Arabidopsis thaliana: one gene and its partner. The protein of the gene in region 2 interacts with the protein of the main gene of each other region in a pairwise test. Each region holds a gene or a part of one and is shown on either strand. Other genes may lie near its edges.

What was found. Proteins that work in one complex are often made in the same cells at the same time.
Region 1: the proteins of ZAR1 (region 2) and AT3G57750 interact in a two-hybrid assay, tested with the Arabidopsis thaliana proteins (one study listed by BioGRID).

What each region holds. Positions count from the first base shown.
Region 1 is NC_003074.8:21,391,988-21,395,822, reverse strand, and holds AT3G57750 (Protein kinase superfamily protein), read right to left. Parts: upstream 1,861-3,835; 5' UTR 1,774-1,860; coding exon 769-1,773; 3' UTR 535-768; downstream 1-534. Other genes in the region: AT3G57740 (Protein kinase superfamily protein), read right to left, coding at 2,079-3,167. UniProt on the Arabidopsis thaliana protein: Together with RPP13L4/ZAR1, involved in the ambient temperature (above 22 degrees Celsius)-sensitive aerial organ development.
Region 2 is NC_003074.8:18,934,010-18,939,332, reverse strand, and holds ZAR1 (HOPZ-ACTIVATED RESISTANCE 1), read right to left. Parts: upstream 3,660-5,323; 5' UTR 3,446-3,659; exon of another isoform or gene 3,218-3,445; 5' UTR 3,207-3,217; coding exon 648-3,206; 3' UTR 534-647; downstream 1-533. Other genes in the region: PLP3a (thioredoxin domain PLP3A-like protein), read left to right, coding at 2-63, 150-247, 333-442; AT3G50940 (P-loop containing nucleoside triphosphate hydrolases superfamily protein), read right to left, coding at 3,805-4,173, 4,261-5,247.

The DNA.
Region 1 (3,835 bases), 2.5 Mb from region 2:
AAATAAAAACAATCCCACTTTCTCGATCTCTATTCTCCACAGAACAAGACTGGAACTTAGAAATATTTAACAGCAGTTGATAAGTTTTGTCACAATCAATGAAAGCTAATGAACACCAAAATGGAAAGAAAGATATGAAGACAAGAAATGGAATCCAACCTCTAATAATGTCTACGAAATTGAACTCAGAATTGAAATTGTACCTCAGAAGCGAAAACACCATGAATGCTGCAGAATAAGAGAAGGAAGGAAGCCATATCAAAATTGAATATAGTTTACTCTAAAAAGTGGGTATGGTCCACTAACCAAAGCGAGTAATGTAGTCGGCTAAAGAAATGTGTTGACTTTGAGGAGCACCAACATGAGACTAAATGTGTTCACACTGGAGGCAAAGTTACTATCTATTTGGCTTATCCACTATCCGAGAACGAAATCAATCAAGAAAATGATCTCAATATTTGACATCTGAGTTCTTGATAGAAAAATACAAAGACAGGTAGCAGCAAGAACTCAAACACATTGAGACATCATCACTAAAAAATTCACACTTAGGAGAGTAAAGTTACCCTCTCTGGCTGGCCAAAAAAATGTCTTTATTCGATAATGGAATTAATAAAAAATAAGCTCAATATATGACATTTGAGTTCTTGATAGTACAAGATAAAGACTAACACAAGAACTCAAACACATTGAGACATCACTAAAACTTCTCAGAAGTTATCATTCTTTCAAGAGGTATGAAGAAACTAACAAGACAAGGAAGACTAATCAAGAGAGTTTCTCAATCAATTTGAGCTCTTTAGCAACTTCAAGCATACCACTCACTGGATCTTCCTTCTTATATCTTACACATCTCAACGCTAATCTAAGAAACGCTTTAACCTGAGACCGTCTCAAAACCAAATCATCATCCCCACCCAAATCATTCCATATCTCTTTATCAACAATCTCATCAAACTCACCTTTCTCCATTACCTCAGACACATGATCATTAAGCGACATAGGAGCCTCATCTGGTCCATTAAACACAGCAGCTCTTCCAGACAACAAAACCAACATCACAACACCAAAGCTATAAATATCCACTTTCTCAGTAACTTTCATTGTCCAGTAATAGTCCGGATCAACAAAACCAATCACACCTTTCACATCATCTTCTACATACAATTCCCCCTCTGGTATTGCAACACAGAACCAGAAATCAGAAAGCTTCGCCGTCCAATTCTCATCAATGAAAATGTTCGTCGGATTTATATTCCGATGGACTATAGTCTCTGGAAACGCCGTGTGAAGATAAGTCACAGAACTAGCTATCTCTTTAGCAATCTTCAATCTCACTTTCCATGGTAAAACCACTCCACTTGAGAGTCCTCCGTCTCTATTAAGCGGTCCGTGTTCTGTGTATTCACAGACTAAAGCTGGAAGATCAAACTCCAAACAACAACCTATAAGCTTTAAAGCGTTCTTGTGTCCACTCATCTGAGAGGATACAGAGATATCTCTATACGCTTCTGTGAAGCTTGAGAGATTTTGACTCGACCATTTCTTGATTGAAACTTGTCTTTCTTCGATTACGCCTTTGTACCATATGAAGTATCCCCAGCTGGAGATAATTCGGCTTTCGGAGAAATTGTCGGTAGCTTTAAGGATCTGATCGGAGGAGAAGCAACGAATCGGATTGGTTTTGCCGTCGAAGGAAGCGATTAGCTCCTCTAATAGAATCCCTCCGTTCTTCAAATCCCATCTTCTCTTCTTCTTATTGTTCTTGCTCATCTCTATTGGAGAAAGTTCGAAACTTTGGCTTTTGCAAAGAAGCAAACTTGATTTGTGATAGTCAACTACTGAGTGGTCAAATTCCGACAAATTAGATATTATAATCTTATCCATGTCGTTTTAGTTATTAAATATTGACCCAATACATTTATAATATACATTCTACTCCCATAATTAGATATTTCAATTTGATCCACATCTTCTTAAATATTACACATTGAGCAAATAAGTTAACTGTAGCTACTCTGCCCACCAGTTAGCCCTCTTCATACAAATGCACACAATAAACTTTGTAAAAGTTTCCTCTATGTCCATCTCTCAATCCTTTTTAGTTCCTTGGCAACTTCCATCATCTTTGGAACATCACCTCTATGACCAGTACATCTGAGTGAGAGCATAAGGACTGCTTTCATTCGTCGTATCTTGTGTTCTTCGGTTTCATCATCACCCATACTTTCCAACATTTTTGGATCCAACATGTCAAAGATTCTTCCCTCTTCCACAAATTTGGATATCCTATCTGAAATCCTTAGATTCATTACATTTTGTTTGTCTTCAAACTCTTCAAATAGACTCTCATCTTCACTGCAACAACAATCAACCACTCCGTACGTTCTTGTGAAAAAGTTTTGCAACAACACTCCAAAGCTAAAAACATCGGTATACTCGGTGATCAATCCGGTCGCCGCGTAGTTATACTCTAGATAATCTAATGTTCCTTCTACTCTATCAGCATGAACCTTAACAAATGTCTCTCCTTCTGGAATTGCGATACAAAGACAAAAGTCACTTAGCTTTGCTGTCCCATTGGAATCCACGAAAATGTTAAAAGGTTGTATATCCGTATGAATCATAGTTCTTGACAACGCGGTGTGAAGGTAAGAAACCGCAATCGCAATCTCTTTGGCAATCTTTATTCGCATTCTCCACGGTAACAACATTTCCGGGTTTGGAGTATTGAATGGTATACGTTCTGCATACTCGCAAACTAAGACCGGATGCTCAAACTCAAGACAACATCCTAACAATTTGAGGAAATTCTTGTGACCACTAACCATTGATGAGACCGCTATGTCACGACAGATCTTTTCTAATGTATCAGATTTGTAGTAGTTCCATGTGGCTCTTTTGATCAAAACAGGACGGTTTTGGAGTATACCTCTGTACATAAAGTTGAACCGAATCACGAGATTGCTCTCGCTGAAGTTATCGGTGGCTTGGAGGATTTCTTCAGCAGAGAAGGTTTTGATTGGATTGGATTTGCCATTGCAAAGCTCGATGAGATCTTCTAAGAGTACCTTCCCGTTCTCTTGGAACCATCTTTGCCGTTGATTTGCTTCTGAGTTCTTCTTCTTCGACTTCTTCCTCCAACAACTCATCTTCTGATCATTCATCAATACACAGATGGATCAGTATCAAAGCCTCTCCCCAAGAAGAAACTTTTTTTTCGTGAAAAGATTAGAATGGTTCAAAGGAAAGTGTATGATTTGATTATAACATTTGAGGTCAAAGAAACACAAATAAAAACATTAAAAAAAACGGCTGTCTTTTGGGTCCCAGAACAATATTTAAAACAGTTCGGTCAAACTTATAAAGGTCAAGACTTTTTTTTTTTTTTTTTTTTGTTTCTGTTTGATTCTTGAGTTGGCACTGAGATGCTGCGAGGAGAGGAATGAAGACAGACCAAAGATGATTCTAAGCTTAATCCTCCTATAAGCATATATATATTTGAAATTTTGGCTTGAATGCTTTCTTTTTATAACCGATTTCTATTTTTGGCGGCAAAAATGAAATTTCTATATTACGACATGGGTTTCAAAATTGCAGACTCTCTGCTTCAGATTCAACACTACATTGTTCTTGTTTTTGACTAAGAGGCAACTGCTTAACATAACATGTAAAAATTGCAAAAGCATTTTGCTTATTTAGTTTTAGACACTATACAAAGAAATTTGCTTTAGTAGTAGACTTTATTTGGGTCGGACTTAAGACACTTTGACAAAGTTGCGATTTGAGTTCAATTCACAACAAATGCAAACTCACAAACTCTCAATCTCTCTGA
Region 2 (5,323 bases):
GAATGCTCCTTTCTTTGTCACGAAGCTTGCAATAAAGACTTTGCCTTGCGTTGTGCTTTTCAGGTTTCGCCTCTTTCTATTCCTTCTTACATACAGGGTTTGTTGTTAGGTGTATACTCATAAAGTACGAGTTTCTTTACCATTCTTAGCAAGGGAGTTGCGATGGATAGGCTAGTTGGGTTCCAGGATCTGGGAACCAAGGACGATTTCACAACGAATAAACTAGAGAACGTTCTTCTTAAAAAGGGTATGAAGAACCTCGGTCCCACCTTTTTTTTATTATAACGGCCCAGTTAGAGAATTTTTGCTTAAAGAGTGCAAATCTTTAACAGGAATGCTCAGCAAGAAGAAGAAAGAGGAAGATGATGAAGACGCCGAATATCAAGAGAGCATACGGAGGTCTGTTAGGTCTTCAGAGAATCTGGACTCTGATTCTGACTGATCAAGCAGTTGACATCAAAGATCTGCCATTGCTGCTAGTCTCTGTTTTCCCTTTTTGCTCGTTTGTTATATGATTATTAGAAAAGAAAATTGCGATATGAAATCCAAACGGTCAAAGCAACATTACATTGTATCAAGGTATATGTAATACACCAACTTATTGTCACTGTTTAATAAACATTGATCTAGTTGCTTAAAACGTTTCATCAGGTTCTGTGCAATGGTGTTTTCATCCACACTCCGCCTCTAAAGCCAACATCTTCAATCGCGAAAGACTCTAGCTCTGGACACCAGTTTGCGGTCACGGTCCTCAGGTACGGCATTGACTGTTGCAGCACTTCCCAGTCCATGTCTAGGTCCGACAATGAACTTAACATTAAACCTTCAATTCTCCAGTGAGTATTCTCGTTTCCCCAGAATGGTTCCTGCATTTTCACCAAATTACCTGAACATATTGACATGTACCTCAACATCGGAAGCTTGTGAGGACTCAACCACGATGGACTCGACTTTCCAGGATAGAATTGTAGAGAAAGCTCATGGAGCTGGTGTGGAGGAGTAAGGGCGTCTATTTTGGTTATGAGATCATCGCCGTAGCTATCATAGCAGTTGATCGAAATGGACATCAGCTTGCTTAGGTTTATCAAAGAATCAAGCTCCTCCTCTTCTATCTGATCGCCACGAGTCAGAGAAAGACCAAGTTTCCGAAGGTTTGTGAGATTTTTCACTTCACTGAGCTTGCACCCATTGTTGGACCTGGCTGGCTTAAATCCCAACAGAACTTCGAGCTTCACGAGACTTCCGATACCCTTGGGGAAGCATTCAAGGGATCCACAGTTCGTCATGTCAAGTACAAGGAGTTTCTTGAACAAGACGATGCAAGGTTGAAGTTGTTTCAGATTCTGACAGTAGCTTGCGTCTAGAATCTGAAGGTTGTGGAGATCTTCCATGGAACGAGGAAACTGGATCAACGGATGTGTGTTGCTCAAACTAAGACATGCTAAGTGTTGAAGGCTTGCAATCTCATCCAAAATCTCAGACAGAGGAGCATCAAATATGGATTTCGAGATATCGAGAACCCGAAGATATTTGCAGTCTGTGAATTTCTTAGCTAAGTCTGAGTTGAGCTTGTTCACTTCACCTGTCTTAGTTGTTGACACTACGCCTCTCAGCTTATGGTTAACTTTGATCTGCTTCTCATCAAAGTTTCCACTAATCCCAAGGTGACGACAGTTGAGGCCTTCCGGGTTAGAGAACGAATCCTTCTTGGCTATATCGATCACCAAATCACGAACCATGTCATGAATCTTGCAAGTGATGATGGTTCCGCTATAGGTTTTGTCTACAACTTCTATTAGACACCTGTTTGTGAGCCCGGAAAAGCAGTCTTCTCCAGATTCAGTTGCAGATCTTCCGTTTCTCCACATGACAAAACCTTCTCCGATCCATCCATGTACTAGTTGTTGTTTTGGTATAACACAGTCTTCTGGATAGAGCGAAAGCGTGAGAATGCACGACTTAAGGTGGGAAGGGAGTTCATCGTAGCTCAACTGCAGAGAAGACATAACATTGTCAGTTTCAGAAGTGTTTCCTCTTAGCTCATCCTGAAAATGCTCTGCAATTCGTCTCCATTCATGATAGACATGGTCTTTGCACAGAAGTAACCCACCAACCGCTTTGATTGTCAAAGGCAAACCTTTGCATTTCGTTACAATCTCCTTGCCAACATCCTCTAGCTCGGGACGCTCACAAGTACCGTCATTTGCTGCAAATGCCACATTACAAAACAGCAGCCAACTGTTATCAGGACTAAGGAGCTCTGGACGGTGAGTCTTGTCGTCTCTCGCTTGCACCCTTTTCGCTACAGATTCCGACCTTGTGGTCACGATAACGCTACCTCCTTGTCCTCTAGGCAGTCCTTGGTAGATCTTGTCCCACCAGCTCAAATTCTTGTCCCATACATCGTCCATAACTATCAAGTACCTTTTCCCCAAAAGATACTGCTGGATTTTTCTCAGCAATGTTCCAATATCATCTCCAACACTCGCGTCCCCCAAGTTCCTCAATATGCTTCTCATGATCTGTTCTTCAGTAAAAGTCTGGGACACAGACACCCATATCCTTCTTTCGAAACGATGTTCGATCTCTTTGTCATTGAACACTTCTTGAGCGATTGTAGTTTTACCTAGCCCTCCCATCCCAACAAAGGCCATTATCAAAAGCTGGCTGTCGTTTGATCGAAAGAGCCACTCCTTGATTTTTCTTTTATCTCCTTCCAAACCAACCACCTGAGTATGATCATACACCGGAGAGCTCCACCGATCAGTTCCATTATCTCTTCCAACATTACTCGGCGTTATGAATTCGAAATAAGGCTCTACTTGACTCTTTATTTTCGTTATCCTCTCATTGATCTCTTGCAAACGTTTGCTTTTCTTGTACTGCAACGGAACCCGGGCAGGATGAAGCCGCGAAAGCCACGCATTTGATGACCTTTGCTCGTTCCCATCATCACCATCCGCGAGCTGACAATCCACAAGTATATCCTCAGCTTCGTAAACCAGTTCTCGTAAATCCGCAACAAGAGTACGCAACGTTTCATTAGTTCTCTTCTGCCTCTCTGCATCCTTGAGAAAAGACTGCATATATTTCAATTCGCTTTGCAAATCTTCCAACTGTTTTCGGTAGTCCGATACGGTTCGGCCTTTTTCTTCGAGGATGTTCAAGGTTTTCTCTAAAAACACTGTTACAACAGCGTCCACCATTTACTCAGACCCTGCAACTTCAAGAAATATCTCTAATTGGTAAACTATAACCAAGCAATAATTCAATCGGTTATGTGTATCATCACTAGATTGAACTTTCCAAAAATCAATCAACCAACGACTATAGAATCTCAATAACCAAAAGATTGGATTATTCTTTAACTAATCCATATCTTCTCAAGAAACATGTAGAATCCTAGAACATTGAAACAAATCTAACCAAAGTAAAGTAAACTTACAAGGTTGTGACTTAGCCTTAGCCGAGAAGGATCTGAAGCTTCAGATCTTTGGATTTTTTTAGCAAAACTTGTTTCAGAAAAATGAGCTTACATAGAGACTTTATCGAAATTGAAGTCAATGGTTTAACAAGTCAAGAGTCAACCTTACTCGTTTTCTTGGTTACTGCTGCCGACTACGAAACTTGTCTCAATCTACTTTAGAATCTTATCATTGAGTTTAGACATGTTCTGACCTCATAAAACAATATCCGCATTTCACTTAGGAAAAAAAAAAATGATTTCACTTTCTGTAACATTTTATAACCAATAATTGCATGATAGTGTTTAACAAAGAAACAAATAAAAGAACTAAATTTCTTCTAAGCTTTTGAATTATCTATTTGCTTCTTGGCTTTTAAGAACTCAACAAGTCCTTGGAGTACTTTATCCACAGAGTCACTCCTCATCAGTTGTTCAGCTACTTCTGCTGGTGTAACTTCAATTTCTCGGATAAATTCTTCAATCTGCTCGAAAAGTATATGATCTTGAATCTCGAGATAATTCGAAGCCAAAACCTTAAAAGCAGCTGGTGTGCAATACGACATGTGAATGTGCATGTCCATACGTCCTGGCCTCAACAATGCTGGATCCAATTTTTCTCTGTAGTTAGTCGTAAACACTATAATCCGCTCGTTACCACAACTTGACCATAGTCCGTCTACAAAATTCAATAGACCAGAGAGTGTGACCTGAAAATGACTAACCAAAACATTAGTAATGCTAATAAGCAAAAGATCACATAACAACATAACTGATAGTGAATCAAAATGCATCACCGTTTTATGTAACGGATCGTTGTTTTCTTGATCAGTAGACCGATCTTTTAACTCGATTGAACAATCTATATCTTCCACAACTAGAATGGAACGATTTGCAGTAGACATAAGTAACCTCCGTAGCTCAGCATTGTTGTTAAGTGATGTCAAGTCTAAGTCATAGATATCGAAGTTAAGATGATTAGCTATAGCTGCGATCAAGCTTGATTTTCCAGTACCGGGAGGACCATACAACAAATAACCTCTCTTCCAAGCTTTTCCAACTCTCCCGTAAAAGCCTTTCCGCTGCACGAATCGATCAAGATCCTCCACCAAGTTTTTCTTCACCTCGGGATCCAGAGCGAGAGTGCGAAACGTGGAAGGATGATCTAGAGTCACAGAGGTCCACTCCACGGAGTAAGAATCAACGGTGAAGATCTTCAATGTTTTAAACTTTTGTTTAATAGAAGCAGCTTGTTCCACAACAAACGGTAAATAAGATTCAAGAACCATGTTCTTGAACTTCTTTCGGAAACTAAGCTCGTAACTACGCACTTCTGATTTCAAAGTGGAGTTGAGATCTCTCGGGTTACGAAAATCCTTTTTATCGACATGGCGACATACAAGGATCCAACTAAGCTTGACGCCATCAAAAATATCAACAACTTCCTCATCACGTTCAACAGTAACACTATAATTGCTCTGTTTCTCAAGTTTGTTAACTTTGATTCTTCTAGTGGAATTAGATATCTTGGTGGAGAGATAAGCCTCTGCAGCTTCAAACACTTGGTTGTGTTCAAAACCTCCAAATTCTTCTATTACAGCTGTCATCTGATAAGAGAAGTAGCTGAAGAATCTGCGAAAGCCGTGAGAGATATATTCATGAACCTCGTTTGGCATGTAATCTTGAACCACTGATCGAGCTAGTATTGCGGCTGCAGCAACTGATGCAACCGCTGTGAGAGCTGTTTTGGCGGTGGCTAGATGAGATTCACTAGAGGAACTCATCTCCTTCAATCATCAAAAATAAAATAAATACATTCAAGTCGGTTCTCATAAATCAAAGAGACAAGAAACTAATCCA